4 linked regions of the Caenorhabditis elegans genome follow. The protein of the gene in region 1 interacts with the protein of each later gene in a pairwise test. Each region holds a gene or a part of one and is shown in the gene's direction. Other genes may lie near its edges.

Region 1 (10,564 bases):
AAAATGAAAAATTTCGAGACAAATGGCCAGAAATTGTGCAAAAAATAGCAATTTTATTGAATTTTTCGATTTTTAGGCAGTTTTTTCATAATTTTTCGCTTAATTTTCAAATTTTTAGGCGGTTTTTTTTCATATTTTCAGAAAGAAAAATGTTTTTGATTTTTTTTGCTGAAAAACTGCGGATTTTCGGATTTTTAGGCAGTTTTCTCATAATTTTTCACGATTTTTTGATGAAAAATGCGAAATTTCAATGAATTTTCTGATTTTTAGGCAGTTTTTTTCATAATTTTTTCATGATTTTTTGATGAAAATCGGAATTTTTCGCTTAAAAGATGGGCAATTTTATTGAATTTTTCGATTTTTAGGCAGTTTTTTCATAACTTTTCGCTTAATTTTCAAATTTTTAGGCGGTTTTTTTTTCATATTTTCAGAAAAATTTTTCAGAAAGAAAAATGTTTTTGATTTTTTTTTTGCTGAAAAAACTGCGGATTTTCTGATTTTCAGGCATTTTTTCATAATTTTTCACAATTTTTTTTCAATGAAAATCGGTATTTTTCGCTTAAAAAATGGGTAATTTTATTGAGTTTTTGGATTTTTAGGCAGTTTTTTCATAATTGTTCGCTTAAAAAATGCGAAATTTTGTTGAATTTTCTGATTTTTAGGCAGTTTTTCAAAATTTTTCACGATTTTCTGACTAAAAACCGGAATTATTGAAATTTTCAGGGTTTTTTTTTCCAATTTTCACGAAAAATGCTCACTGGCTCTGGATATTTGACATATCTTGTTCCTGTTTTTGAAAAAAAAATGGGTCTCGTAGTCCGTGAATTTTGAATTGATTTTTTGCACAGATTTTGGGTAATTTCGCTGAAAAATGTGTATTTTATGGGTTTTTGGGCAGTTTTTTCCATAATTTTTCACTATTTTTAGGTAAAAATTCGGAATTTCTGATTTTCAGCCAGTTTTTTTTTCATTATTTTCTCCGATTTTCTAATAAAAAAGCGAATTTTTCGCTGAAAAATGCGAATTTTAGTCCAATTTTCTGATAAAAATCCGAAAATTCGCAGATTTTTCGGGTAATTTCGCCCTAAAACTTAAGTTTTTCATAATTTTCCCCGATTTTCTGATAAAACTCCGAATTTTTTCCCTTAAAAAAGTGGATTTTCGTATTTTTAGGCAGTTTTTTTCATAATTTTTTGAAAAAAAGAGGAATTTCTCGTATTTTGGCTAAAAAAATGACGAATTTTTTTTGATTTTCCTGAAATTTCATTGATTTTTTTTGAATTTCTCGTCGGATTTTCCACAGGTTTTTTAAATTTTTTAAAGGATTTTTCAGTTGATTTTCTGAGATTTTTTCACTAAATTGAGAATTTTCGTTCGATTTCCTGGAAATTTTTTTGACATTTTTCAAATTATTTACTGATTTTCTTGCCTCTTATTACGGGTTTTCACCGATTTTTAGCGAAAAAATCTACCGATTTTATCGATTTCGTATCTCTCGGATTTTCTTGAATTTTTGCAGCGATTTTTAGTATTTTCGGTGAAAAAAATGTGGATTTTCTAAATTTTGCGATTTTTTTTTAATTTTCGGATTTTTAGGCTGTTTTTTTTTGTTTTTTTTTTCTAATTAATTTATCCAATTTTCAGCTGGAACTCGATCGTTATGTGCCTCCGCGTGCTCGTACCGATGGCTCTCCTCGCCTGGTACTTTACCAACGAACATCCGAACGCGCTCCGTTGGAAGAATCCGGCAATGCCGAAGCAGTATTCATACGATTTCTACCGTGCCTACCCGTTCGACGATCCACGCAAATACCCAATTGTCAACTATTCGTTTGATTTGGAATAGAAAATTCCTTAGTTTCGGTTGTTTTTTTTTTGGTAGTTTTCTCCGTTTTCTCCTTTTTTGTACTATAAAATATTCGAATTTTATCATTTTTTTTTTTGCCTTTTTTTTGCCCTTTTTTCAGCGTTTTTAACGCTTTTATACCTATTAATTCGTTTTTTTTGTTGCTTAAAATTGCGCCTAATTGAAAAAAAAATTCCTAAATTTTATATGATTTTTTGAAAATTGAAAAAGTCTCAGTTTTCACCCCTAATTCCTATTTGAATTACCGCTAATTGGATTTGTTCGATGGAGCGCGCTTGCACGTTTTTAAGTTTATTTATTTTATTTTTTGTTATTTTCCACCGATTTTCAATTTTTTTTAGTTTTCGGTGTATTTTTACATGAATTTTAGAGAAAAAGTCAAAATAAATGCTAAATTTCGATTAAAAAGCACGCTTACAGGCGTAAAAATGACAAAATTAATTAATTTCACTGATTTCGGTCTGTACGCATGGTTTTTATTCGAAAATTTGCATTTATTTCGACTTTTTCTCTAAAATTCAAGCAAAAATACACCGAAAACATTAAAAATCGGTGGAAAATAACAAAAAATAAATAAATTTAGAAACGTGCAAGCGCGGCGCTCCAACGAACGAGTTCAATTGGCGGAAATTCAAATAGGAATTAGGGGTAAAAACTGAGATTTTTTCAATTTTCAAAAAATCATATAAAATTTAGAAATTTTTTTTTGAATTTGGCGTGTTTTAAAGCAATTTTCCCACTGGCGCTACGCTACTCCACTTTTAATTAATTAATTATTTGGAAAAAAAATTCAGAACTCGGCGCTGGACGCCCCCGCACAAAATGCTCTTCCTCGATGATTTTTTAGAAAGTAAGTGGTTTTTTTTGTTGCAAACTTTTCCCCTATAAAAACACCCAAATTTTCAACGTTTTCCAGTGCTCGATGAGCTGCCTGCCGAGCTGAAGGAGAGAAGCGATGAAATTCGGCGAATCGACAATGAAGTTGAATGTAAAATTTCGAAATTTTTCTGAATTTTTCCCTTCATTTTTTCGAATTTTTAGCCCGTCTAAACCGTAATCGAGAGGCGATCAACGATTTTTTCGAGAGAACCGGCGTAAATATGCCCGAGGAGCAGAGAAAGGAGCGCTGCAAGGTTTTGCAGGAGGTGAATTTCATGAAAATTCCTGGAACTCGAATTTGGCAGCAAATTGACACGAAAACGCAGGAAAAAGTTGATTTTTGCCACAAAAACGGCTAAAATTCGTGAAAAATGAGAAATTTCGCTATAAAACCCGTTTTTCTAGCTTTTTCGTGAAGAAAAATGAGAAAAAATGGGATTTTTTTGTACTTTGCCTGATGTCATTTTTTCACTTTTTAAGCTTTTTTTTCCCACAAAACACCAAAAGTGCTCAAAAATACTCAAAGTGAATGACGTCTAAAAACACTAAAATGAGGTCGAAAAACTCAAAAAGTTGCTCAAGATCCGACCAAGTTGTAACCTTTTCGGAAAAAAACCTAAAATTAGAATTTTGTCGTTTTTGATCGTTTTTTGAAGCTTTTTCTTCACAAAAATAGCTTAAAAACGCAAAAATTAGCCCAAAACGCTTATAAATCTCAAAATGCATCCAATTTTTCAAAATTTTCCGCTAAAAATAAAGGAAATACCGAAATTTTCAAAAAATGAGCATTTTTCCGCGAAAAAATCCCAAAATTCCGCTAATTTTTCAGAATTTCTCGGAAAAAAACGGTCGAAAAAATTCCTTTTTTCACTGAAAATCTTTTTTAAAAAACAGGACAAAAAATCGCAAAATTCAGACAATTTTTCGGAATTTCTTGTTAAAAAGTGAAAAAAAAGCTGAAAATTTAGCTTTTTTCACGAAAAAAAATTGAAAATTCAACTAATTTTTGGGAAAAAACATTTACATTTGCATTTTCTAATTTTTTTTTCGTGGTTTTCTAAAAAAAACTTTCAAAATCTCAAAATACAACCAATTTTGCCGAAATTCTTGGAAAAAAACCCTAAATTTGCATTTTCTATTAATTTTAAAAGCTTTCTCCCCCAAAACTACCTTATAATCCCAAAAAATCAGCCAATTTTTCTAATTTCTCTTTAAAAAAAAAGCTGAAAAATTAGCTTTTAAAAAAAAAAAAAGCTTAAAAATCCCAAAATGCCAATTTTCCAGATTTTCTCGCGTTGAAAGTGAAGGAAATGCCGAAATTATAAAAAAAAATTAGCTGTTTTCACAACAAAAAAAAAGTCGAAACCCCCGAAAAATCATAAAATCAACCAATTTTTCAGAATTTCTCTTTAAAAAGTAAAAAAAAGCTCAAAAATTTGCTTTTTTTTTTCAATAAAAATTTTAGAATTCAACCATTTTTTCAAAATTTCTCGTTAAAACGTTGAATAAGCTCAAAAAAAAGTTTTTATCACAAAAATAGCTGAAAAATGGCAAAATTTCTCTTAAAAAATGAAAAAAAAAGTTCAAAAATTTGCTTTTTCACAAAAAAAAAATTGAAAAAACCCAAAAAATTGCAACCAATTTTCTTCAGGAATTCTCCACAATCCGCGTGCTAGCTCAACGCAAATATCTAATCGCCGAAAAAATGCAAGAACTCCTCAAAAAGTACAAAGTTCACTTGGAAAAGGAGAAAACCACGTTCCAGTGTGAAATGGAGGCCGACAATTCAGGAGTGACCGAAATGATCGAAAAACGATATACCCAACACGTCGAATCTCTGCTCACAGCGAGAAAAGAACGAAAACGTCGTCATCGCGTGGGCGGTGGTGGTGGTGGTGGAGGATCGTCGTCGAGAGCATCGACAGTCGCTTCGGGACCACTTTTATCGAAAGAATCAAAGGACAAAATTCAGCGGATCCTTCAGGAAGGTGTTCGTCTTCGAATGGATCTTTCCGATGAGTCGGCACAATCGGCACTATCATCGGCTATACCATCACCAGCGCCACGTGGGCGCCCGCCAAAGATCGCAAAGGATCAGCTGTTGCTGTCGTCGGCGGCGATGGTGGTGGCCAGTGATGATTGTCTGACGCCAGTGCCACCAACACCGACGGCTAGGGTGAGGAGCTAGCTGAAAATTCGAGAAAATTCGCAAAATTTGGAGCCCACCTACCACGGCCTCCTGTTCAAAGAACTGGCGAAATTTCGAATTTTAGCTAAATTTTGAATTTTCAAATAATATTTTTCAAACATTTTTGAATTTCAGCCTAAAATCCGCAAAATTTGATCGTACAAAAACCTCACAAAATTGATAAAATTTTCCCGTTTTTTGGGTGTTGTTACAAGAAAAATTTGACGAAATTTCGAGTTTTAGCGTAATTCGTCTCTTTTCAACTATTTTTTTAGCCTAACCGCCACATTTTTTAATAAAATTTACGAAAATTGGCCGTTTTTGGGTCATTTTGGACCGTTTTCAGCTAAAAATTAACTTTTTGTTTCGAATTTTCAAAATTAAACGAAATTTGGCTCTTTACTGACTAATTTTTAAGCCAAACCGCCATGATTTTCTGGAAAATCAGCCTATTTACAGGAGGACTAACGGTTTATTGACCCAAATTTTGTGCTCAAATGAACGAATTTCGTAATGAAACTGCTCGAAAATGTATTTATGGCGGTTCAAAATTTCGAAAATGACACTGATTTTAGCTAAAATCTCGAATTTTGGTCATTTTTCCGTGTCACAGCTGTAGGAAGTTGGTTTTTTTTGGAATTATCATCCTTCATTGCATATTTTGGTAGTTTATCTCATTTAATTTCATTGATTATGGTAAATTTAAAGCCAATAGGTAACCAAAAATCATTAAAATTGGTCGCCTATAGGCTTTAAACAGACCTTAATAAACGAAATTAAATGAGATATTAAAACCAATATATGCAATCAAGAATGATATTTCCAAAAAAAGCCAACTTCGGACAGCCGAGACACGGAAAAATGACCAAAATTCGAGATTTTAACTCAAATCAGTGTAAGTTTTCGAAATTTTGAAGCGCCATAAAACATTTTTGAAGAATTTTTGAGCAATTTCAGTATGAAATTCGTTCATTTGAGCACAAAATTTGGGTCTATACGTTCCAAATCGTCCGAACCGTTAAATAGGCTGATTTTTCAGCCTAACCGCCATTATTTTCACGAAAATCAGTCGTTTTTGGAGTGAAAAAACTAAAAATTCTCTAATTTCTCCAAATTTCAGCGCCGCTCAAACACAAATGCTCTCCGCGGCACAGTCTCCATTCCAAGTGCTCTTTCATCAATGATGAATCGTGGTGAATCGACATCCCGCTTCTCACCGAATCCCTCCGAACGTAGTTGGTCAAACGCCGGAATCGACGAATCATCACCGACGCCGACGACAAGCCTACTGATGACACCGACGTTCTCCTCAGGACCGCATATCGTCGTTTCGCCGACGACTCCAGTTCTCCAGAATTCGGCGTTTGTGGTGTCTGAGAGCCGTCATGGTAGAACTCGGAAGCTGACCAGTAGAGTTCAGGAGATGTTTAAGGAGACTCTACAGCGGCAGCGGAATCATGGAAATTCAATTATAGCACTACAGGAGAGAATGAGTGCGGCGAATCTGGCGGCGGCGGCTCAGCACGCTCACGCTCCGACGAGCTCTTCACCACAATCACCACTTCCGGAGATTGAAGGAGCCGCCGAGGATGATGATGAGGAAGGACCGAGTTATCGGATTAAGCGGAGCCATCCGATGATGGCTCCGGGATCGGAGGATGAGGAGGATGAGATGCATTGGTGTTTTTGTAATGAGAAGAGCTATGGAGATATGGTTCAGTGTGATAATCGTCATGTTAGTGTGGGCTTTTTTAATGAAGGGAAAAATTGAATTTTTCTCCGAAAATTGAGCGAAAAATTCAAATTCCCAGCAGAAATAGTGCGAAAAAAAAATTAGATTTTTTTTTGTTGTTTTTTATTACCAAAAATTGATTAAAAAATGTGAATTTTCATCAGAAATAATGCAGAAAATTACTGTTTTTTTTTCTTCGAATAGTGCGAAAAATTGAGTTTCCATCCATTCAAAAAATCAAAAAATTTGGATTTTCACACGAGAAAACAGTGCGAAAAATATATAATTTCTACCTGAAAATTGCAAAATCATGTTGCTATATTTGCGGTGAAAATTCACTTTTTTGGTTAGTCAAAGATTATCAAAGATCTTATTAAAAAAAAAAAAAAAAATTTCCATTCAAAAAATCGAAAATTGAGCGAAAAATTCAAATTTCCAGCACAAAATCAATAATTCGTAATTTTTGATGAAAATTCATATTTTTTCATGGAAAATTGTACAAAAAATTCAAATTTCCACCAAAAATTGAGTTTAAAAAGTGAAATCAGAAATAATGCACCGAAAATTAAATTTTTGTTTCAAAAATAGTACGAAAAAAGTTAATTTTTAACCGAAAATTATTTTTTTTTTAATTTGAATTTCTACCACAACAAAATGCTTAAAAATTGTTAAATAGAGTGTTTCCTTGGAAAAAATCACAAAAATGAAGTTTTCACCAAAAAATTGCGAAAAATATATAATAATTTCTACCAGAAAATGCAAAATTTTGCTTTTTTTTACATTTTTATCGAAAAATTTCACGAACATTCAGAAAAATTGAATTTTCACCAAAAAATTGGAAAAAGTTGCAATTTATATTATTTTTAGGCTAAAATCAACAAAATTTCTGCGTTTTCAACGGTTTTACCAAAAAATGTGTTACAAAAATTCGAAATAGTTGAGCGAAAAAATTAATTTCCACCTAAAAATTGCAAAACTTTGCTATATTTTTGGTGAAAATTCGATTTTTTGTTGGTATTATTATCAAAAAATTTTACAAAAAAAATAGAATTTTCATTTTAAAAAAATCCCGAAAAATTAAAATTTCATCAGAAAAATATTTTTAAAAATTGATTTTCCACAAAAACATGCTCTTGAATTACAAAAGCAACTGAAATAATACGAAAAATTTAGATTTCGAAAATTAAATTGAATTTCCACTGTAAGTATTTCAAAAATTAGAAAAATTAAATGGAAACAAACACAAAAAAACATAAAACACGAAAACATGATTTTTAAAAAATTGTTTAAAATAATTACAATGTGGAAATTTCATTTTTCGCACTGTTTTCGGTGAAAACTCAGTTTTTTTCCACAAATATTACAAATTACATCCATCCATCTGAAATTTACACCAAAAACCTTTAAAACAAAATACAGAAAGTCTGAAAATTTCAACAAAAAATTCTAATATCTAAATTTAAAAAACATTTCTACCAAAAATCTGATAAACTGAATTTTCATCGAGACCATCACCACCAAAAAACTAATTTTTGACCAAATTGAGTGCGAAAAATCGAATTTCCATCAAAAATATTATAAAACATTTTGTTTTCTTCGAAAAGTAATGCAAAAAAGTAAATTTCCGCCACACAAATATATTTAAAAAAAGTTGAATTTTCATCAAAAACTACAAAAAATAGAATTTGCCTGGAAAATTCTAATTTTTTCGAAGAAAACAAAATGTTTTATAATATTCTTGATGGAAATTCGATTTTTCGCACTCAATTTGGTCAAAAATTAGTTTTTTGGTGATGGTCTCGATGAAAATTCAGTTTATAAGATTTTTGGTTGAAATGTAAATTTTTTATAGCACTTTTGTAGCTATATGTTTTTTAAATTTAGATTAGAATTTTTTGTTGAAATTTTGGAAAAAATTATGGGAAAATGGTAGATTTGTTTGTTTGTTTTTTTTTGTTGGAAAATAAAAAAAGTAATAAAAACCACAAAAATATCAGTAAGTTTCAACCTAGATTAAAAAAATAGCTACAAAAATTTGGAAATTAGTAAAGTTGCTAGAATTTTTTAAATTTCTAATTAATCCCATTTCATTTGCAGTGCACCCTCCGCTGGTTCCATTACCCGTGCATTGGAATGGTCGAGCCTCCGACTGGAAAATGGTACTGTCCGCGGTGTGAAGTTACGATGGGAATTGCTCTCAAGCTGTCCGAAGAGGGAGAAGTCTAATATAAATATTATGACTCCCCATCAACGATAATTTAATAATAATAATAATAATGATTGGCCTGAAATTTTCCCAATTTTTTTAAAACATTTTTATCTGAAATTTTCCCCAAAGACTCTGATGCTCTCTCACATTTTTTTTAAAAATATTTTTAAATACCCCAAAAAAACAATTGTAAAAATTCCAATTAATTTTATTTTGCACACTATTTTATATATTCCCCCCCATGTTATGATGTCCCATGATTCTCAAATTTCTCCTGCATTATTCTCTTGTACAATATACCCTAAAAAGTTTTAATAAGGATGAACTCGATAATTTTTAAGATTTTTTTTTTTGGATTTTTTTTTTGAAATTGCATGCCACTTGTTTTTTTACTCTGATTTGTATTTTTTTTATAGGCATTTTTTCCATTTTTTTCCAGATTTTAAGAAGTTTTTAGAGTTTTCGATGGCTGCAGAAAAGAAAGTTTTTGTGATTTTCGATCATCAGGAGCAACGACACGATCAGCCATGGCCATCATATCATATTGAAGTTCCGAGGAGGCTTGATGCGATTTTGGAGAGGCTTAATGTATGGGGGGAAATGAGCAAAAAATTTGGATTTTTAGGGGGAAAAGCCGGAAAAAAAATAAATTAAAATAACAAGCACAACTATTTTCCAATAAAAATGAAAAATACAAATATTTGCATATTTCAAAGAAAACCTCGGAAAAAAAAGACTGAAATTTTGAATTTTTTTGAGAAAATTTCAAAAAAATGTGCAATTTTTTTGAAATTGAAATTTCTGAAGTTTTGGAATTTTTCAACAAAAAACCTTATATTTCTAATTAAAAAACCGCTTTTTTCGAATTTTTCAAAAAAAAATTAAGAATTTTGAATTAAAAAAATTTTATTTAAAAAAAAAAGGAATTTCTCAGAAAAAAAATGCTGTTTCGTAATTAAAACAATTTTATTTTAAAATAACATTTTTTATCGAATTTTTCGCAAAAAAAATGATTTTTTAATGATAAAGAAGAAAAGTTTTCATATTTTACAACAAAAAAAAAACCCCCCAAATTTTCATTTCCAGACCACAAAACTGCTCACCGACCCCCGAATTGAGCACATTCCCCGCCGGGAAGCGGAAGAATCGGAAATTTTGGCGGTACACACGAAACGATATGTGGATGACGTTAAATCGACAGAAACGATGACTGTGGTCAGGATTTTAGCCGGAAAAAATTGGAAGAAAATTGTGCACTAAAAAACTGATTTTTCAAAAAAAAAATTTTTTTTTGAAAAATTCGAAAAAAAAATTATTTCAAAATTTTTTTTTCAACTTTTTCTGGAAATCTTGTTTTTTTTTCACAATTTACAGTTTACAATAACATACAATAACAGAGGTTCGAGGTAAAAAAAATTATGTAATTTTTTAAAATAATTTTTCTTTTGAAAAATTCGAAAAAATAAAAATTTTCAGACCCTTTTTTAATTTTTTTTTCTGGGAATCTAGTTTTTTTTTTTTCAAAATTTTTACTTTTTCTCATTAATAGTTTCAGAAATTACTTTTGAAAAAAAACGAAAAAAAATTTTTTTTTTCAAAATAATTACAACTTTTTCTGGAAATCTGATTTGATTATGATTATGGTAACGAAGTTCAGAGAAAAATCTGTTTCTTTTTTTCAAAATTTGC
Region 2 (8,711 bases), on another chromosome or scaffold:
CCAAAATTGGCGCCGCCTCTCCGCCTCTCATTTTTCGGAGATATTGGATTTATCGAATTGCTAATTGTTTAATTTCCGCTTTTCTGGACACTTTTTTACTTGGATTTTAAATTTTTTGGGGGTTCTCCCTTGCTTGAATGTAGGACCTACTATGCTTTTTTTATTTAAAAAAATATTTAAAATTTTTGAAAAAAATTCCAAAAAATTTTTTTTTTGAAAATGTTTTTTTGACTATTTATTGCGATTTTTTAGGTGAAAAAACTCAGAATTTCAAATTTTTTTCACAATATGAACACACGTTTTGCCAGAGTGTCCCATCTTTGGTTTGATCCACAAGAATCGCGGGAATATAGACGCAGACTTCTCAACTGATTTTGCATATGCTGACGTCATTTTTGTGGAAAAAATTCCCGAATTTTTTGTAGATCAAACCGTAATGGGACAGGCACCATGCCACCACGTGTGATATTTTTTTTTAATTAGGAAAATTATGACAAAAATTCTGAAAAAACCCCCCATTTTTTTCTAGATTTTCGGAAAAAATTCCATGCAAATTCCTGAACAACCATGATGTGGGCGGAGCCTATTTTGAGATTTCTGAATTAAAAAAAAATTCGCATAGATCTGAAATATTCTACGGTTAGCACAAGTTTCAGATCTGTGTGAAAGTTTAGAAAAATTTCAGAAAAAAAAATCGTAAAATAGGCTCCGCCCACATCTTGGATATTTGGTTATTTTCATTTAAAAAAAGTTTTCCATAATTTCAAAATTATGTTTTACAAAAACTTTCTCTAAAATATTCAATTTTAAATTTCCAAAAAAAAATCGAAAACATTTTTTTTTCAAATTTTTGAAAAATAAAGAGAAATGGACCAAGAAATGGGCGGGGTCTATTTTGAAATTGTTATGATTTTTTAAAATATTAAAAATTAAAAATTCTGAAAATTTTCTTCCAACCCCTGACATAGGCTCCGCCCCCTTCTCCCAAGAAAAGCGACCTTCTTCGCCTCGCTCCCACTTTCCAAAAATATCGGATTTCATAAATTTTTAGGACTAAATTTTTATATTTCCGATTTGAATTTTTCCCGGTCTTTTTTTTGTTTTATATGTTAGCTGACCAAATTTCTTCAACAAAAAGTTTTCAAAAAAGTTTTCAAAAAAAAGTTCGGCGCCCTTAAAAACGAGGAACAAACTTCTTTTTTTTTCAGTAAATTTCAATTTCAAATTTCAATATTTCAGTGACATTCGTCGGGTTTAAGTATAGCCGTCAAAATGCATATGATTTATGTGTAAAGCTTGAAATTTTCACTTTTTCCGTTTGGTTTCACTTTTTTCGATAATTACGAATAGGTGAATGATTGACTAAAAAACATCAATTTCAAATAATTTTCAGTCTGAAATTTGTATATAAAGCTTCCTTTAAACCAATCTCTACTAGGCTCCGCCCATTTCTTGGTTGAAAATTTTTTTCTGAACGATTTTGCCTTGCAAAACACTATACGAAATTTGAAATAATTTCATTTTTCAATTTAAATACACTTACACATTAACAGAAAAAGTTTGTTGACCTGCCTACCTGCCTACAACTTCACACTGTAGTTTCATGGTAGGCAGGCATATGCCTACGAGGTAAGGTCACAAATTTCTTGCTTCCCTCATAAATTGAAATGGAAGAGTTTGCCGAACTAGGCTATTTTGGCTCGGCCATATCTGGGGTAGATTTACGGCGCGTTGCGGCTCGATTCTAGTTGTAAAACTAAATGTATTTGTCCGTGTGGAGTACACGACTTTCCGACGCGTTGTCTGGCAGGCGATTGTCAATGGAGCGCGAAAAATTCAATAAGGAAGGCCAGAACCCCGTGAAAGGTTATGCTTGCCTGCCTACTATTTTGAGCTACTACGAGTAAAATAGGTGATTTATAGTGTACTTTTACCTAGTACTGTGAAACTATCCAAAAATTCCTTCTCAATTTTTTTTCTGAATCACCTTTATTTTTAAAAAAATATGATTCATATATATTTCTTCTTTCTCAAATTTATTTTACCTCAAAAATATCACTGCTTGAGACAAGGTCACTTTCTGCCAAAAAATCAAGCAGAAGCATGCAATCTCAAGGTTACGAAAAATTCAAATTTCCCTTTCCAGAAGCTTCGAGTAACAAAATTTCAAAACGAAAAAATTTATGCAAATTTCTCCCAAAAATCGTGTGAAATTTATGCTTTCTTCGCCTTCCCCCCTACCCGGCCGTTTTTCATTTTCGCATCCCATTTTTCGCGTAAATTCGTAAATTCCTGAATTCCGCCTGCAGGCAATTTGCCCTCCCCTGACCAAAAGCAAAAGCAATTCAATTCGAAATTCACAATTCAAAAATCCCATCCTAAAAACTTTGGAAGGGGTGCGCGCGTTCCGCCTCTCTTTCACCCCCACTCCCCCACCACAGGACGAAAAAATCTTTTTGTGAATTTGAGTGTAGGCATGCGGGTTTTTGGAAAAAAAACTAGTTTTTAAATATGATTGTGAACCTGGAAATTTCCAAATATACTTTTAATTTTTTGATTCAAAAATGGTTAGAGTTGTGTTACGCTAAATTGACGTAAATCAGAATATGAATAGGCCTGGATTGTGGCAATTTAAGCCAAAGCCTGAGAATAAGCCTAAAACTACGCCTAATCCTAAGCCTGAACCTAAGCCTATGCCTCAGATTAAGCTCAATCTGAAGCTTCAGTCTAAGCATAAGCCTAAGCCTAGGCCAAAGCCTAAGAATAAGACTGAGCCTAAGCCTAAGCCTGAGCATAAGCTTTAACTCAAATCTAAGCTTAAGCCTAAGCCCAAACATAAGCCTAAGCTCAAAATAAATCTCAAACTCAAGTCTAAGATTAGGCCTAAGCCTAAGCCTAAATCCGAGCGTTTTTGTTAAGTCCTACACTAAACATATGTAGAATAACCAGAAATCATGCTAGAACCACACCAAAAATAACAAATACACTGTGTTTCGGCGACAATTTTCGGAACAAAAAATGGGGTCAGCTTTCGATTTCCGTCCCCCTTTCTACCCCCTACTTCTATTTTAGTATGCAGTACATACAAACTTGGATGACTTTTTTTGTGGATTTTTGATTTTACTTTTGTTTTGTTATTTTCTGCAAATTTGCTCCATTGATAAGCATTGAGCAGGCTTGCAAACTTTTTAAAAATGGTTTAAAACTAATATCGCTCACTGTTCCTAAGTTCATCAACCCTCTCTCTTCTAGCTTTCAATTCACAAAAATGTTGACAACAACTACAGTTTTCCCGGAGAGTGTGATGAGGACGGGCCTAGCCCCGGCACCGAATATTCCGAACCCAAGAAATGCAGGAAGGAAAAAGAGCAATCCGGTGAGTCATTTTATTTTTTTAGGATAATGATAGCGGTAAAACCAGTAATTATAGGCTATGATCTAAGAATATAGTCCAGAGATAATCCTGAGCCCAAGTCAAAGCCAAAGCCGAAGCCGAAGCCTATGCCTAAGCCTGAGACTCAACCTAAGTCTGAGCTCGAGCCTAAGCCTAAACCTAAGTGTGAGTCTAAGCCTAAGCCTGAGCCTAAGCTGTAGCCTAACCTAAGCCTAAATAGCGTCGAGCTCACGCTCGCCACTGACGCCAAGCCCAAGCTTAAGCCTTAGCCTAAACCTAAACCTGACCCTAAGCCTAAGCCTAAGGCTAGCCCTAAACCTAAGCCTGAGCCTAAGCCTAAGCCTAAGCCTACCTAAAAAAAGAATTTACGATACGACCTCAGGCCTACTCACAGCAACTTAAATTAAATTTCAGGTTTGGGAGTTTTTCACCGACCTCCGAACTCATGGCCTGGCAGGTGTCCGCTGCAGATTTTGCCACTGGGTGACTAACGACAGATCGCCTACAACTATGAAATTTCACTTGAAACGGAAACATGACACAGGTTGGCTTAATAAATTCACAACGGGTTCCAAAAATGTATTCTAGGACCCGGAGGACTTTGGGCGATATGTGAGGAGAAAATCAACTCACAGGCTCCAGCGAACTATGCTCCGCGAGTCAAGAAACAGGTGAGATTCTAGATCAAAACCAGTTTTCCACCCAGTCACCCAAAGTCAGATGTCTGTCAAAAATTCGTGTGTTACCCAATTGCAAAAACCATATCTGTTTCGCTACTGCGTCTCTCAAATTTCCTGCAATTTTCTAGGTAGAAAACATGTTTGAAAAGCGAATAGTAGTGACCTAGAAATCACCGAAATTCGCATTAATTTTTACAATTCTTTTCCGCGCGCCCGCACGCGTGGGGCGCCTGCGGAAGACACAATGGTGGGGGTAAGAGACGCAGACAGATTTTAGGAACGTTTTGCAAAGTAGCTTTTACATATTGAATATATGTATGTATATAAATGCGAATTCTAAAAAAGAAGAAATCCAGTTTTTTTTTTCGTCGCGGGGCGAAGCTTGGTTGTGTCCAATTTTCGACATGGATTGGAATGTTTAAACTGGACATGGTTGAACGGAAAAGCAAAACAATTTTACTTTTTTTTTGAAAGGAAAAATCTTCAAAATATTTAAAATGCTTTTTGAAGTTTAAAGGGAAATCTAGGAAATATAAATTGCAGCTTTTTTTAAACTTTGACTTGGAGTTTTCTGTCTTGAATTTTGGAACATAATCTACCTACAGTAGTCTCACAGTACTTTTCAAAAACTTTTTTTTCGACAACCATTTACGAGATTTTCTTCGAGTAAATTTATATTGGAAAACCGGCAAATTGCGAATTTGCTGGAATTTTCTGCAAATTGTGGTTTCGCACTTTTTTGGAAGTTTCAGTATTTCAATTTTAATTGCAAAATTGTACGCATCCTATTAATGTTCCTACAGCTATTTTGAAAAGCAAACACATTCTATGAAAATATCTAAAGAAAACAGAAAAAGGTTCCAAAAGGCCCAGTTTTAAGTGTTTCCGTCTTATAAAAATCCCTCTAAAACTTTTGGCAAGTTGATTTTGGCAAACGGCAAATCGGCAGATTGACGGAAATGAAAGTTTCCGGCAAATCAGCAAACCGGCAACTTGACAATTTTTGTAGACAAAAAATTGGTCGAACGGCAATTGCCGACCACCCCTGATTTACAATACCTTAACTACAAAAATTTAACTGCCACTGAGAATACAGTAATCTTAGTCTACGACGTAGACTCTACGTCTGGGTAAACTTACAGTAACCCAATAATAAGACTACAGTAATCCTACCTCAACCCTATTTCAAGACACAAGTACAGTACAGTAGCTATACAAATACTATTTATCAAAATTACAGTAATCTTACAAAAACCAGTAATTTGGCAGTAACCACTGAGTATATTTTAAAAATCTACAGTAACCCTACAGTAACCCAATAATAAGTCGACAGAAATTCTACTTTAATCCTATTTCAAGACACAAGTACACTACAGTAGCTATAAAAATACAAAACATCAGCCCTAGGATAATATTTATCAAAAGTACAGTAATCCTACAAAAACCAGTAATTTGGCAGTAACCATTGAGTATATTTTAAAAATCTACAGTAACCCTACAGTAACCCAATAATAAGTCTACAGTAATCCTGCAAAAACTGGTAACTTTACAGTAACTCTGCAGTAACCTTTTCTTATAGTAATTTAAGTTATCCTACAATGCAAACATCTTACAATAGCCCTGCACTACACTCCAATTAATTATTTTCACGTGGTGTCAGAGTGTCTCATTTCGGCCTGATCTACGTAAATCTACAAAAAATGCGGGAGAAGAGACGCAGAGTTCTCAACTGATTTCGTATGGTTAAAAGCGTGCTGAAGTCACATATTTTTGGGCAAAAAATTTCCCCATTTTTTGTAGATCAAACCGTGATGGGACAAACTTAGTTTTTTTTTAATTCTGAAAAGCGACGAAACCATATCTTAGACAGAAAAAAACTGTAATATTTTCAGCCCGAAGATCTGCTCCTCAAAGCCCTCTCCCAACCGTCACCCTTCTCGTTCAACCCCTTTGCCACCGCAGAGATCAAGCTCGGAGCCCAAGATGACTTCCTGGCGGCTCTAATCCAACAAGCCTCGCAGTACGCCAATTCCAGCACATCCCCATCGGCCAATTCGAATGTAAGTTTGCCTAGGTGCCTAGGCACACAAGACGGGCGCTTAAAATTAATTATCTTCCAGGAAGGAAACGCATCTAATGAAAACGAGAGTCTCACCAGCGATTCGGTATTTCTTAGCAAATTGAACAGCACCTATCAGAATATTGTGAGTCAGAATACTAAAAGAAGCAGCCGACATTTCACTACCCAAATTCCAGAAAGAAGAAGATTCCTCCTCCTCGTCAGTCAGTGGAAGCACCTCGACATCCACGTCATCAGCAGAATTCCATCTGAATGATGGGACAAGCATCGCCGCGCTGCTACAAATCGCCACAGATTCTGACTTGGTATTCACATTTAATGCGAGAAAAATGGGCGAATATTGCTTTGAGAGTAATTTAAAAAATGTAAGTTAAGAATTTGCAAGAGAATTATTTTCGGCCAAAATCACAGAAATCAAAAAATTCCAGCAAAAAATGGTAACCCTAACCGATTGCGGTAACGAAATCCGAGTCACTCAGCTGGAAAACGACGAGGAGACCCGCGTAGAAATGTGGAGGAAAAGCGACTGGCAGCAGTTCACTTGGGCGGTGCGGGGCTCTTGTCTCCATTTTTTGAAGGGTTGCTCCGAAGCACCTTTGATAAAGATAGAAGATGTGATGAATCTTGTTGAAGGTTGAAGGATTAAAAAAGTAATCCCAACGCTACCAGTTCCATACTCTTTGTCATTCCAATCGATTTCTCTAACTTCCTCCCAGTGCTATTTTCACCCCAGTTTCCCTTCATAATGATCACTTACTGGCCCAAATTGGCGTCTTTCAATTCAATTTTTTCCAAAACTTTTTGAATTTTTCCTCATTTATTTATTGGCTGACGGGTTTTTCTATTTATTAATTTTTATCTTTTTTTAAATTTTTCCCTTGACATTCTATCATAATTTAAAAAAAGAATAAATAATTCCCGTGTGACGAAAAAAAAACAACTTCCAACAAGAAATAAAGTTCAAATCAATTATTTCTAAATTATTTTCACAAAATGAACTACTTCTTCCATCCAGGAACGTTGCCAGGTAATCAATGTTTCAGATGGCGCCTGTGAGATGTCGGCTGCTGGCTGAGGGCAGCCGACATCTCGGCTCCTGTGAAGTGCCCGCTGCTACGCTAGTTTTGAGAAAAAAGTGCCAACAGCAGCCGACGTCTCGTGGCTGAGAACCTTTCAAAGTGCCTGCGGGGAACTTTTTTTGAAAAAATTTGAAAAACGCAGCAGTTATTTTCAAATTAAAATGATTTCTAATGGGAACCGGGGATGTGTAGCATTTTTCCGGGAAACGCAAAAATTACTTATTTCATACATGATAATCGAACTTTTTTCAGCTAAAATTAATGAAGACATGTAGTAAAAAGATTTGTACTATCTGAAAATAATATTTATTTTTGGTGAAAATATTCAAAAAGCCTCAAATAGTGCCTGAAAGTTGTCGTTTGCCAAAAAATTATCGGCACTTTTTCGGCAAACAGCAACTTTCAGGCACTATTTGAGACTTATTTCTTGGAGCTTTTCGACAAAAATAAATATTATTTTCAGATAGAAAAAAACATTTTTCTACATTTCGATATTAATTTTCGATGATAAAAGTTGGATTATCATGTATGAAATATACAGTTTTGTGCGTTTGCCGAAAAAAATGCCGCACAGCCTTGATGGGACTTTATGGGGCACCCGACCTTATAGGTTATAATAAGACTCCAGTAGAATAGCACCTGTGATAAGTCGGCTGATACTTTTAATTTCAAAATTTAAAACTTTTAAATTGGCTGACGTGTTTTCCTATTTATTGATTTTTATTCATTTTTTCCCCGTGACATTATAGTTTATAAAAGAATAAATAATTCCCGTGTGACGAAAAAAACAAACAACTTCCAACAAGAAATAAAGTTCAAATCAATTATTTCCAAATTATTTTCACAAAATGAACTACTTCTTCCATCCAGGAACGTTGCCAGGTAATCAATGTTTCAGATTGCGCCGGTGAGATGTCGGTTGCTGGCCGAAAACAGCCGACATCTCGGCTCCTGTGAAGTGTCCGCTGCTACGCTAGTTAAAAAAAACGCCGAGAGCAGCTGACTTGTGGTCCACAAGCCTTTTTTAAAAGCATTTTTTGAGTCCAGTAGAATACCACCAGTGAAGTGTCGCCTGCTACTTTTAAATTTTGCGTATTGCGAACCAGCAAAGTGTCCGCTGCCAGACAATATTCAAAATCACTTCCATTTTTTGCAGCGTATTTCCGGAAAAAGCCCGAGAAGAAGACTAATGAGTGTTCGCACAAAAAATTCACAGTGGAAAAAGCCAGATGGAGAGATGTAAAAAGAAAATACGACAGATGGATCGAAAAGGACAGGCAAAAGAAAGCTGGAATCAATGTGAGCAAAGGCGTGACTCCAGAAGACAAAAAGCTTGCGAGAGAAGCCCGAAAAGAGCAGAAGAAGCACGTGAAGGCCAGAAAGCTGAGGAAACGACAGAGAAGACACCGAATTTTCAGACGCATTCGCGCATCGAAACGTGCAAAGACGGAGGTGATTGCAAAAGGTCAGATGAAGCC
Region 3 (5,811 bases), on another chromosome or scaffold:
CAATGAATTATTCAAAGTTTCTTTGCACTCCTCCAACTTTGCCAAAACGTCCAGAATAGTTTCTCGGGAAGCCATTGTCTCCTAAAAAATAGGTTAAGTATTATTATGAAACTGTATATAATTCCAGTAAAATCTATGATATTTTATTTTTGAGCAATATGTAGAAAAATGCACCTCTGCTAAACTAAACATTAAACATAAACTAAACGAACATTATCATTGAATATCGAAAAAGTGTATTCAATTTTTTCAGATATTACAATTTTCAACTACAACCGGACCATGTGGAAATTTGCGCGGAAAGAAAAGGAGAATGTGTCCCGCAGGGGTAAGAGTCATTGGTTTCGTTGAAATCACGTTGAGTGGGTGTACCATCTGTTGGGGAAATTCTCTCCCCCTGGTCCGGTTCTGACATAATCTAGATTTTTCGAGAAAATCAAGTTTCAGTACATACTAAATTTAAAAAAGAAGCTAATAAATTAATGAGAAACTATGCAATCAGCTTTTTAAATAGTCTATCGAAAACGGTTTACTGGTGTTTTCTTTCTTCTGTTTTTCAATATTCTATTACATTAAATGTTCCTATAAACTAATATTACATAGACGTTTTGAAAATGGAGAAATTCGCCATACTTGACGCGCAAGGTCTCGCAGTGAATGCTCTTTCTCTCCGTCTCTTCGCCACATACTCTCTCACTGCCGCACCGCTTTTTTTTCAATAAAACAGGGTAAATTTAGTGAATTGATTTGAAACTCTATCTGTATTTAAAATAATAATAATTATTATTAAATTATTATTAAAAAAAGTGTGTCAACATCTATTTTAATTATGTTAACTACTAAACATAAATAAAATGCGTATTTTTTTGCAAGAAAGAAAAAAAGGCCGCGTAAAAAGGGAGACACAAATAGTGTTCTAACTAGATTCTCAACGCGATGCGTAGTCTAATATGAACGCAGACATACAAACAAAAACGAGAGGTGACCTCGTTTCCAATCTAATTAGCCATGCTAGCGTGTACTGAAGTGTCGAACGTCTAATTAGAAAAAAGCAATTAAGCATACGTAATGGCTTTTCTGTCTTTTTTGGAATAATTTGTAAATGGAAAAGTGAACTTAATCAATATTTAAGTTGGATTTATTATCAATAGAAAGTTTCAAAATGGAAAAGGTCTCGAAAAATCCAATTTCTAAGCGTGTGCATTTTTCTCTTTGATTAGCACCATCTGTTCTTCAATTAGACCCGTTTTTCTCTTTAACGGGAGAAATAGTAATGCACTAGGTAACTTATTGCTTTTTTTTTCTGAAAATTACTTTGAATTCAAATTTGAATTTTTAAATTTCAAATCAAACTACTGTAGCATCGAGTTTCGCGTCAGCACGAGAGTTGCGCCAGTCGCCGCGCCAAGGCGCCTAGAAAAAACGGCGCTCGCAATTTATTTTCAATTTTACACATTTTCTCTCCTAATTTATCGATTTTGCGGGATTTCGCACAGATTTTCTTTGATTTTTCAACTATTCTCATTGTCCCAGAAATATAATTGAGCATTATGAGCCACCTGCTTTCCCCAGGCACTTGCAGTATCCATGGGAACATGGCGAAAATAGGATTTACCAGAAATTTCGAAATAACTCAATTTTTCTAGTGATATTTGTCAAAATAAATGGTTTTCTAGTTTGTAAAATAAGTTTTTAACTAGATTAAGTAGAATTTGTCCTGTAATTATTGCGAAATAACTATGTTTCTTGATTTTAGGCTCTATTTTCAATAATTCCGGATTTCCTAATGTTTTTCTTCGTTTTGGAAGTAGTTTTTATTAATTAATATATTTAAATTTCAGAAAATGTCTCAATATGAGCGATTCGACTCGGTGCTGCTCTCCATGGCCCAACAGCTGAGCGGCGGAGTGCCTGAAATGCTTGATGTACTATTTGAATTTCTTTCGAGGTAAGAAATTTTTTCAAAGTGCTTAATAAATACATGTTTTGTTTCAGAAAGACGGATTTCTACAGTGGCGCTGGTGTCGATCAAGCCCGGACCCTTCTCCTCGAAAAATTCGATAAACACGGTGGAAAGGCTATGAAGGAAGCTGAAGAAGCCAAGAAACGGAAGGAAGAGCAGGAGAGGAAGCTTGCTGAACGAAGAGCTGCACAAAAAGCTAAGGAAGAGGAAGAGTTCCGAAATGCGAAAGTCGTGGAAGTCACTGATGAGGAAGCGGCCGCGTTTGAAAAGGAACAGGCTAAAAATTCTGTTGAAAATCTTGAAAAATTCGTCGATAACGAAGGAGAAACATCGAAAGACGCTGAAGTCGAAGATGAGGACAGTAAGCTCATGAAACCAAATAGTGGAAATGGTGCGGATCTTGCCAAATATCAATGGACTCAAACACTCCAAGAACTCGAGGTGAAGATTCCAATTGCTGCTGGATTTGCTATCAAATCTCGTGACGTTGTCGTCAAAATAGAGAAGACTTCAGTATCTGTCGGCCTGAAGAATCAAGCTCCGATTGTCGATGGAAAGTTGCCTCACGCCATTAAAGTAGAAAATTGCAACTGGGTAATCGAAAACGGGAAAGCGATTGTCCTAACTCTCGAGAAGATCAATGATATGGAATGGTGGAATCGATTCCTTGATTCCGATCCTCCAATCAATACTAAGGAAGTGAAGCCAGAGAACTCGAAATTGAGCGACTTGGATGGAGAGACACGTGCCATGGTCGAAAAGATGATGTATGATCAGAGGCAGAAGGAGATGGGTCTTCCAACGTCTGATGAGAAGAAAAAGCATGATATGCTGCAACAGTTCATGAAACAGCATCCTGAAATGGACTTCAGCAATGCTAAAATTGGATAATTCTGTGAATTTTGTGAGATTTGTTCCGAAAATATTATATTTATATTCGCATAAATGTACTCAGTTTGATATTAATTTTATTTCATCTTTAAACTTTTAATAATGTATTTCTCATTCCTTATATCTCTTTTAGATCCCTTAAAAATGCAGTGCTTCAACACAATTTTCAGACTCTTCACAGATATGGATGAGGACAATGAAATCGGACTTCCACAGAAAGGTATCAACCAAATTATCAAAGAAGTTGTTCCTGAAATGCGAATCGCCAACGAGTCGAGAGATATGATCAATGCTTGCTGCGTTGAGTTCGTGAAGCATATTGCGAGAGAAGCACAACGAATTGCGAGCCAGGATCAGAGAAAAACAATATATCACGAACATGTTCAGAAGGCACTGCAGAATTTAGGATTCACACCAGATTATCTCGAGGCCGCCGACAGTGTTCTCGATGCCTGCAAGGTTGAAGCCGAGAAGAAGCTGCGAAGGAAGAACTCTCGTCTTGAAAAATGTGGTATTCCAGAGGAAAAATTGTACGAAATGCAACAAGAATTAATTCAGAAGGTAATTTTTTGAGGTTTTCAAAAATAATTTTGTTTTTATAAAACAAACACTCATTTCCTCAATGTTAATATTTATTTTACAGGCACGCCAACAAGAAATTGAGCAGCAGCTTGCTCACCAACAAGCACAAGCCGCGGCGGTAGCAGCCGCAAACGCACAAATGTTTGGAGGACCATCAGAGGGCTCTTTGGCTCCAACCGACGATGACTACGACAACTAGATTGTTTTTCTTCGCTTTTTTTTTCTACGGGTTCTCATTTTATTTCTTCATTTGTGTATTTACCTTGATTCATCATCGATAATTTCTAAATCTCTTTTTAAAATTGTTGTACTATATTCCACCATTTCCTATTTTCCCCGTGAATTTTTTTACTGACCCGCTCCATATTTCAATGGCACGTCATTTAGGGCACGATTAGTTGGCGTTTTCCCCAGTTGTTCTCGGCTTCTCAGATCAGTCCTGTTTTTGCCTTGCCAGTTGTCGAGGTGCGAAAATTTTAAGCGCAAATGTCAGATTCTGAAATAGCATTTGAGAAGCTGAAAATCTCTGGGGAGAAAGAAGGTGAGCCATTCCCTTTTTCATTATCGTTTGAGTACTATAAATTATTCACAAAAAAACTGTTTCTCGCCGTTTTGCATCACTTTTTTGGTTCCACGTGCCCATTTTTATTTGCATTCATTTATTCTCTCTGTTTACTGATTTTACTAATCGAGTTCTTCCAGGTATGACTGAAACGGAGCAAACGACGGCACCCATTTATCCGCTGAAGCGTAACTGGACGTGGTGGTATTTGAACGATGAGCGCAACAAGTCTTGGGAGGATCGTCTGAAGAAGGTGTACACCTTCAACACCGTCTCGGAGTTCTGGGCTCTCTACGATGCTATCCGTCCACCAAGTGGCCTCAACGCGTTGTGCGATTACAACGTTTTCCGTGACGATATTCAGCCGATGTGGGAGGTTCCGGAAAACTCGAACGGAGGACGCTGGCTCATCGTCATTGACAAGGGAAAGACTCCCGAAATGGTCGATGCTATTTGGCTGGAGATTCTCATGGCTTTGGTCGGCGAGCAATTCGGAAAGGACATGGAGTCGATTTGTGGGTTGGTGTGCAACGTCAGAGGAAAAGGATCGAAGATCAGCGTCTGGACTAAGGATTGCAACGATGATGAAACCAACATGAGGATTGGGTATGCATGTCTATTTTTAATTCTATCTTGAATTTTGGAATTTCAGAGTTGTGCTGAAGGAGAAGCTGATGGCCGCATCCAAGGACCACTCAAAGCCACTGTTCGATGTGATCCGCTACGAAGATCATGAGAGCTGCCAGAAGAAGACCAGCTCGGTTGTGAAAGCCAAGCTTTCATTGCACTCGTCCGATGCTCCAGTCGCCGAGAAATCCGCCGTCTAAAGCAGACCATTTTGTATCTGCTCTACTTGTTTTTTAATTACACCCGTTGCTTGGCTAGTATTTCACTCGTTGTTTTGTGATTGGTTTAATAAAATTGATGAAAATTAATTGTATTATATTGCCTTGTGGTTTCCAGGCCCAATTTTGTATCTTATTGTAGTGTAGAATGTAGCCTTTAGGTCAGAGAACAAGTAGCGGGAATGATGATAAAAAAGACACCGCGAAAGTCGGCCATTCTGCTTCTTTTTCGTCTCTGCGTCTCTTCTCTACCTATCTTATCGGCCCAACAAACAACCGAAAAACTTTATTTTTGTTCAAAAGCCCCTCTCAAAATAATTATGCAGTTTTCTAAATGCCCTTTTTTTTAGGTTTTTTCACCTCTTCCTAATAATTTGTTACTACTTATAAGAACGTTTTTATTTACAGAACCACACAAATACACTGCAAAATGGCAGGAAAATGTGAGTGGGGGTCAAAGTCCATGGTCGTTGTACTAATAAGTGATCAGTGATGTTTATATTATGTCTGCAGGTGTGTTCATCGTCGGTGCCAAGCGTACAGCATTCGGAACTTTTGGTGGAAAGCTGAAAGGATTGAGTGCAACTGATTTGGGAGTCGTCGCTTCTCAAGCAGCGCTGAAGCACGCTAATGTTGGAGCAGATGCCGTCGATCATGTCATCTTTGGTAGAAAGATTTTATTTTTAGAATGATTTAAAGAAAACCTCTAATTTCAGGAAACGTGGTTGCCAGCTCTCGTGATGGAATTTACCTGAGTCGTCACATTGGACTCAAATCTGGAGTTCCACAAAACGTCGGGGCCCTCACTGTCAACCGTCTCTGTGGTTCGGGATTCCAAGCAGTCGTGAATGCAGCTCAAGCTATCAAGCTCGGCGAGTCCAACATTGTTCTTGCCGGAGGAACCGAAAACATGTCAATGGTGCCATTCGCTGTTCGAGATATTCGTTTCGGAACTGCACTTGGAAAGA
Region 4 (7,289 bases), on another chromosome or scaffold:
AGCATTCCAGGTGCTACCGCGAATGATAACATTTTTCTTAAATAATGATAACTAGAATGATAACATTTTTCTTAAATATAAAAACCTCATCAATTTCAAAAGTTACTGTTGAAAGGTAATCATTAATTTTGGACTATATAATTCCAAATTTTAAATATCAAAATGATTCCAAACACACAACATTTCCAACTTTGCATCCTAAAACTCACCGAACATACCAGTTTTCAAAACATTTGTATCAAACTAATAGCAACTGTTTGCGCTTCCGCTTTCTATACTGTCTATTCATGTTTTACGCTGTAAACTGCTGAAATACCTCCCAATTCTTGTACTTTTCTGTCTTCGTTGACCAATTGCGCTTATCTTCAAATCAGTTCCAACACTTATTTGTTTCTTATGTACGGTAACTTTTTTTTTCTTTCGAGCCACCTGCATCCCTAAGTTTTAGCCCTTTAATGTCCAGATAAGTGTTATCCTGTACGACAACTTAAAAAAAGGATCAGATAAAATATAGTGGTATCTTGAAGTCTCTATAAATCTATTGTCTCTATTAGTTTTTAAGACGCTTCTTTCGATCGGTTGCGCCATCAGCATGCCATTCAGGAAAGGAGGAAGAAGCAAGTTCTCTAAATCTCTTTTCGGCTATTTTTTTCTAGAGTGCCGCACGGGTACCATCACCAATCGACGCCGCCGTCGTCGGTACCCAGTTCACCTCTTCATTTGGCTTTTCTCCGCGTGTGTTTTTTGTCTATTCATTCCAGTCGCGCTAATCGTCATCTCCAAATACAGTTATATGCCATCCGTACGGTAGTGACCAGTGGCAAATCAAATCAAACAGGTTCCGAGTGTCAATAATAAAGACGATGAATGAGGGAGAAATGAGGAGATGGTGGGGGGAGGCAAAAAGGCAAATCGCAAATTATTTTGACACTACCTCCTGTGTTTGTATGCATTTGCCGCAATGGTCATCCGCTTTTGCGTAACACGGGTACAATGGGCGGCAAAATTGAGAAGGAAAAGCAGGCAAAAGAAGGCAAAGCCGGCCTTTCTCAGGGAAAGAAATAGATTAACCGGTGGGAGGCAAATGAACAAGCATGGATTTTTTCGGATCTGCATACATACAAGGTCTACCTATGGGTGTGGCGCTGAATATATATCTTTTGTACTCCGATTGATGGAGTTTCAGCGATTTGGGTCACTGCCACCGATTTGGCCAATGGTACTTGAAACATACTAGCTGTTGATGTAGTAATGAACTTTGTAATAGGTACCTTCCAACTAAATTTGATTTATAGTGTGTTCCTTACTAATGAATATAACAATCTCTTCTGCTAACATCGAGCATTTTCATGCTCCAAGACAGTTCACCATAACCCTAGAGCTGTTGTTAAAAGTTTTTCATTTTACATTTGTGGTATTTCATTAGCATTATAGGCTCTTATATCCTCTAGACTCATAGCCAAACTAGCACAACCTGTAAAAAAATTGGTAAGTTCTGATTTTTGGAGTAAAAACCTTAAAAGTATGTTCTTTTTGAGTTATGAATGTCATAAATCTTGAATTTATCAGGGAGCGATAATTTTGCCAGCTATGAGACATAAGAAAAACCTCCAATAGTAATTTTTCATATCAACTTGTAAGAACATAAACATTAGTCACATCACGCGTTGTGCAACAGTATTTGAGTTTGCTTAGAAAATCGGAATACTAAATGTCTCAATCTCAAATTCAAGTTCAAGCATAGATCTAAAATTTTAACATTTCGATGTGTTTTTTCAGTTCTTGTGTTTTTAACAATTCTAAATATGCAAACCTATTTAATTTACCTAGTTATTCAGGGTGGTTAATAACTGTGTAAGTTCACTTGTTTTAATATCTCGTTCCAAAAACAGAAACGTTGAGTTACTGCAAAGTGGTCGCCATAATTATGGGCGACTCTGTATATTCTTGAACTAGAAAACCGTATCTTTACGGTTTCATTTGTGATAGCCTTTTGACCTTATTTTATATAGACTTATATAAGAGTTCGTATACTCTAGGATTTTGTTGTATGTAGTAACTAAGATTTTTTTTAATATTCCAAGTTCCTAGATGTCATAACCTCTCACTATAGTTAGAACTTTTTGGCCTACTTAAAATTTCTAGGCTATATTGAAATACAATTTCAGTGTGTTTCAATATTCTTTACTGTCAAAAGCTAAAATGTCCACCTAAAATACATTATGATTGATTCCCGTCCTCGTATTGCGATGCCCTCTTAGTCTATCATAAATGCATTTCCGAATCTTCGAAACGAGGTTGAGTAGGTGCATTGTGTCAACTAAAAGAAACATTATGGAATTGTTGCAAGTGGTTCTCGACCTATTACCATTTCGCGTTCTTTGGAAAACTTTTGCGCCATTGGTCAACACATCCAGTTCTGAAGAAGCGCGGGTCCCCACCGTGTCTCTCCGACAACACACCACCACCACCCACTTTGCAGAGAAGAGGGCACAGTGTGTAACTTATTGTGAGACGATTCAGAGGACAAACAAATTGCGTGGTCAGTTTTGTTTTCAGGTGGGGTGGTCACTCTCTTTCATTCTCTTCATTGTGTGATGGAACACAACTACCTTGAACCACTTGTCTGATACCAGTTCCCTCTTCCAATCACCTAGACAACCAATACCAGCTTTTTCCTGTTTTCTCCCTCTCTCTTCTTCTCTTGGTTCAAAGTTTGTTGTCTGAAATTGCCAGTTCAATTGGGTCACCATGTCTGAAACTAGTGACCAATGAAATTTCGTGAACAGTCCAAAACAAAAAATTAATACCATAGGCTTCCTTGTGGGACAACTAGTTATATTTTCTGTTTGACTACTGAACTTATGTTTCTCTAAGTGTTGCTTTCTACTTTCAACCAAACATTTTTTTTCTCATTTTTCCATTTTGCCCCCATCTTTTATTCACTTGAACCTTTTCTCTTTTCTTTTTCTTCTTACCCTCAAAGGACAAATCGTGAGACTATCCTCAATTGAAGAAAAGGAATTTCTGATATATATCTGTGCAATATCTTTGTTCTCCTTCATAATTCACAATTCATTCAGCGCGTGTGAATCGTTTGAATTAATAATGCCACTGAACTCAAATAATCGGCCTTTTTAAGTTTCTCTAGTTTCAATTTCTAACGCTTTTGATTCTTCTTTTTCAATGTTTTCTTCAGGCTTGAATTTACAAACGCAAATTTAAAATTCCAGACACTCCAAATAAAATCAATACTCCATAATACTGCTGGATCAGTAACAACAATCTCCCGAATGGCTCTATAGTGGTGAGTAAGAACTAGTTTCCGTTCTAGTTTCTACTGTGCCATGCTCTTTCCCCTTTTAATGTTGTGAGCACTGTTTTGCTTTTTCATTGAAATAACAAAACAAGTAGAACAAGTATTTGCACCAGCAAGCATCTGGTAAGTATTCTCTTCCTCACCAACTTTACTTTTCTCACACTTTTGCCTATATTTGCGCATTTGGAGCAAGAGCAACACTTCCAGATTTGGTGACAGATTTCAAAGAATTATTACTTTGTCTAGTCTTATTTTCTCCTTGTCGTGTGCCGTTGTTGATCATAATAATAGTAGGCCAAATCGCCGCACCCGTCACTGCTCATGATCCCTTTAATATCCTAGCTAACTCCGAGTTTATCATCATGTGCCTCCTATGGGCACTGCCAATTCCATAAATAATTGTTTTTTCTTCTTTTCTATCTATCCTTTGTGTTATCCTTCTTCTTCCATACTTTACCTTATCAAATATTCATGTATTCTTGACAGACTGTAAGGGATAATTGGAGATCTCGATGATGAATTATCCTTGCTCTTGTGTTTGCAGTTTTGGTAGGGTGTATATGTCAATTATTTCTTTTGAATACTCTATTGAGAATCTATTGAAACCATACTCTATTCAGCTTGAGCTTCAAGGGAGAAACATGCGAGTGATCATTGACATACTTGATTGTAGTTAAAAACCGCATTTTCCGTATTAAACTTGCACCCCAATGGATTTACCTCGTATATCAGTCTTCTTAAGTTTTACCAAAAAATTATTTACTGTTGAAATGTACAAAAACATTTTGCACATAATTTGCCAACCGAGATAGAAGCTGTCAAAGTAAAGCAATGAGAGTACAAGACTAATACATTACAACTAACGTCTATATCATCCCTTTTCTAATCTGGGAGTTTGGTGCTTCCAAATTATTTTCAGAAAAAAACGTCAGCACAGTTTGATAGCAAATGCTGCAAAGGATATGCTCCCCCAGTTTTATGATGATACCTGAAAATTAAGTAAAAATTTTGTAAAAAAAACATTCATCCAACTTCTATAGCACTCATCGGATTTTTTGACAGGGGCCAGTTCTCGGCTCCTCATAATTTTCTCGTTTATTGTTAAAATTTCGAACTAAACTTTGAGATATAAGTTGTGAAAATCAAGGACCATAGGTTTTCAACATTTTCTATTGAACTGTACTAACACCTTTTCAAAAAATATTTTCAAAAACACCAAACTCTCAAATTAGTGGGGTGGTGCTATAGACGTTGGGCACACTGTAGAGAAATATTTGGTGGTATATTAGGTCTCCAAATAAGTTCCGGGTCAAAAGTCATAACTTTGTTCGCTGCGTATCGATTTTTATGAAACTTTGGGAATTCATGTTATCAACTATGATCTTTCATTTGACAATAGTCACAAAATTTTTTGACCACCCCAAGTGCCCTAACTCGGAACCAATTTTTTCAGGCATTTTTCTGATCTCGCTTCTTTTCAAATTTCAATTGAGGTTCATGGTTACATCATTTTTGTAGGAAAAATCTAGAATTTTCGACAAAAAATTTTTTTGAAGATTTTTTGACGACCAACCAAAAAAAATTTTTTTGGACGGATTTTTTCAAAACTTTTGTTGTTTTCTAATAATGTATTCTAAACAAAGAAAAATCCGCACACAACCCTCAATTCAAAGCTGAAAATAAGCGAGATCAGAAAAATGCCTGAAAAAATTGGCTCCGAGTTAGGACACTTGGGGCGGTCAAAAAATTTCGTGACTATTGTTAAATGAAAGATTATAGTTGATAACATAAATTCCCAGAGTTTCATGAAAATCGATACACAGCGAACAAAGTTATGATTTTTGACCCAGAACTTATTTGGAGACCTAATATATTTGATTTACCTTTTTTTGAAATCTTTCTTATTTGTTGTGCATGAGACTTAACTTTTTTTTCATAAACTTATCACACAACAATTCTTCGCAAAACACTACAATCGAACATCATTCCTGCTCATCAAACATCTGCGCTGTCCCACTGTCCCAGTGTCTCATCGCTCGTCAAGCCTATCAACATTTTTTGTCCCAAACTAAAAGTGCAATGAGAGCTCCATTGTATTGCACGAAAAGTTTCTCAGTTTCTCAAAAAGTGTGACATCGAGAGAAAAAGAGCACCGTTGTTTCGAGGTTCAGCCGCCACAAGAGCCAGTTGTCACCGGCGCCCCGGATACACGGAACAAAGCCATGAGACGTATGTTCTATTAGGTGTTCAACTATTGCTAACCTGTCACCTGCCCCGACATTATTTGATTATCTATTGTCTCGTTAATTGATGGTAAGTAGAGTGTGTGACACCTTGAGAAACGATTCCACAAATATCACCATTTTGAACGTGTTGAAAATATCCGTCGAACTAACGTTTGTACTCGTAGTATCACTTTTTCCTATCCGTTTTTCGTGTTTGAAATCTTTGATAGGAAGATAAGACACAGGGAACCCCGAGCTCTTGATGGAACAATGCCTGCCAAGATGTTTGTCAATTGTTGCATCTTCCTGGAAGACGACAAAAGTTCCCCCGTTTTTCATCTTTTCGTCCCACTCTCATACGAATCTTGAACAGAAATTGTTGCGAAAATTTTTTCTTTCAAAAACTGACCTCAAATCAGCGGAAGGAGTCACTTGTCACACTTGTTCTTCTTTTATATATCACACTTAATAACACCTATCTTTTGTTGTCAAACCAAAACGGAGCTCTTGTAATATTCAATATTGAACGAACATTATGCCCTTTCCCATTTGACAAATAGGCCTTGATCCATCCTGCTCTAGACTATAATCGGCTTAACCAGGCCTTGCTCATAGATTTCGATTCTTAGCCCCTGTTTCCTCCATCCCCACAACAACAAGTTATCCAAGGGCAACATCGATGAATTGTGGAATTTGATACTAACGGTCCCGCGGGAAGGTGAAATTGAAGTATTTGAATTATTGTTTAATGCAAAAAGATCAAAGGTTCTAATGTTCTCGTAAGAAATGTTGTATCAAAAGAAACCCATCACCATTGATGTATACATCTTAACAAGGACCGAGTGCACATTTTCCCACAAAACCATTTTCTCAGCTTTTCGAGAAGAAAAGAGACAAATTAGGTGTGTAGAGAATGGTATTGTTGTGAATCGATTAGTCATAGATTGCTTTTTTTGGTCGGCCGTTTCACCCTTTCTTGGCCATTACTAATTGTAAAAGGGTCTTTGACCATTATTAAAACTGGAATACAACTAGAAAAGTTTAAAGCACTACTGACCGAAAATAGTTTTACCATCCATGCAAACTAGTACTACAAAATAGGCTCCCTAAATATTAGAATACTATATAAATGTTTTGGTATTGAAAACCGCTTTCTGGAAACTTCAATGAGTAACTTAAAAGTAATCGTGATAACTAATTCATTATCACCTCTATCATTTCTATCTTTTCTTGAATCCACAAAACGCTATTCGACACCTGCTGTCCATTGCTTACTTACATTTCAAAGCACTTGTTTGCGTGTGCAAGCCTCATGAATAAAAGCATATTGAGACATCCGGTAGACAGGTATACGGTAGGCTGATGAATGCTCAGGGGGAGTCCATCATAACCACCAGCAAAATTTCTTCTTGTCTTGTGAAGCTCCTAAATTGTGCCATCTTTCCTGGCCCCGTATTTCATAATTGTTTGAATTTGTTATAGCAACATCTGTGTGAAATGAATCGCATGTTGACCTGCCTTAAGACTAATGACTCGTATCGCGATGAGCTACGAGAACGATTATGCGAATTTATAATCACAGGTGGTCCCAGTCGAAAAACTCTCCCTCTCTTTAATAAAAGTATAGAATTGGGAAATTGATGTGCATGCAATGTAACATGTAATACATGTATGTACAATTCTTATATTCCGATTTTCTTCGAGTCTTTGAAATGACAAATTTCCGTTTCCTAACGCTTTTCCAT

Evidence for each region.
Region 2: the proteins of ing-3 (region 1) and T10B5.10 interact in a two-hybrid assay, tested with the Caenorhabditis elegans proteins (one large-scale study listed by BioGRID).
Region 3: the proteins of ing-3 (region 1) and dro-1 interact in a two-hybrid assay, tested with the Caenorhabditis elegans proteins (one large-scale study listed by BioGRID).
Region 4: the proteins of ing-3 (region 1) and egl-13 interact in a two-hybrid assay, tested with the Caenorhabditis elegans proteins (one large-scale study listed by BioGRID).

The regions. Positions count from the first base shown.
Region 1 is NC_003280.10:13,873,373-13,883,936, forward strand, and holds ing-3 (Inhibitor of growth protein), read left to right. Parts: upstream 1-2,661; 5' UTR 2,662-2,689; coding exon 2,690-2,717; intron 2,718-2,783; coding exon 2,784-2,855; intron 2,856-2,908; coding exon 2,909-3,012; intron 3,013-4,397; coding exon 4,398-4,922; intron 4,923-6,054; coding exon 6,055-6,669; intron 6,670-8,763; coding exon 8,764-8,892; 3' UTR 8,893-9,213; downstream 9,214-10,564. Other genes in the region: ndub-8 (NADH dehydrogenase [ubiquinone] 1 beta subcomplex subunit 8, mitochondrial), read left to right, coding at 1,645-1,846; hda-10 (Histone deacetylase domain-containing protein), read left to right, coding at 9,341-9,463, 9,962-10,090.
Region 2 is NC_003283.11:1,850,816-1,859,526, reverse strand, and holds T10B5.10 (BED-type domain-containing protein), read left to right. Parts: upstream 1-3,250; 5' UTR 3,251-3,268; coding exon 3,269-3,376; intron 3,377-3,683; exon of another isoform or gene 3,684-3,746; intron 3,747-3,808; coding exon 3,809-3,938; intron 3,939-3,982; coding exon 3,983-4,065; intron 4,066-5,966; coding exon 5,967-6,134; intron 6,135-6,194; coding exon 6,195-6,278; intron 6,279-6,330; coding exon 6,331-6,519; intron 6,520-6,582; coding exon 6,583-6,792; 3' UTR 6,793-7,134; downstream 7,135-8,711.
Region 3 is NC_003281.10:13,339,686-13,345,496, forward strand, and holds dro-1 (Protein Dr1), read left to right. Parts: upstream 1-2,998; coding exon 2,999-3,415; intron 3,416-3,497; coding exon 3,498-3,635; 3' UTR 3,636-3,922; coding exon of another isoform or gene 3,923-3,977; 3' UTR 3,978-4,027; downstream 4,028-5,811. Other genes in the region: F53A2.3 (Phosphoprotein), read right to left, coding at 1-75; nud-1 (Nuclear migration protein nudC), read left to right, coding at 1,845-1,948, 1,996-2,854; ife-1 (eIF-4F 25 kDa subunit), read left to right, coding at 3,923-3,977, 4,139-4,604, 4,651-4,825; acaa-2 (3-ketoacyl-CoA thiolase, mitochondrial), read left to right, coding at 5,274-5,286, 5,357-5,509, 5,560-5,811.
Region 4 is NC_003284.9:5,660,604-5,667,892, forward strand, and holds the start of egl-13 (Transcription factor egl-13), read left to right. Parts: upstream 1-3,233; 5' UTR 3,234-3,307; intron 3,308-3,761; exon of another isoform or gene 3,762-3,901; intron 3,902-5,884; exon of another isoform or gene 5,885-6,077; intron 6,078-7,245; exon of another isoform or gene 7,246-7,289.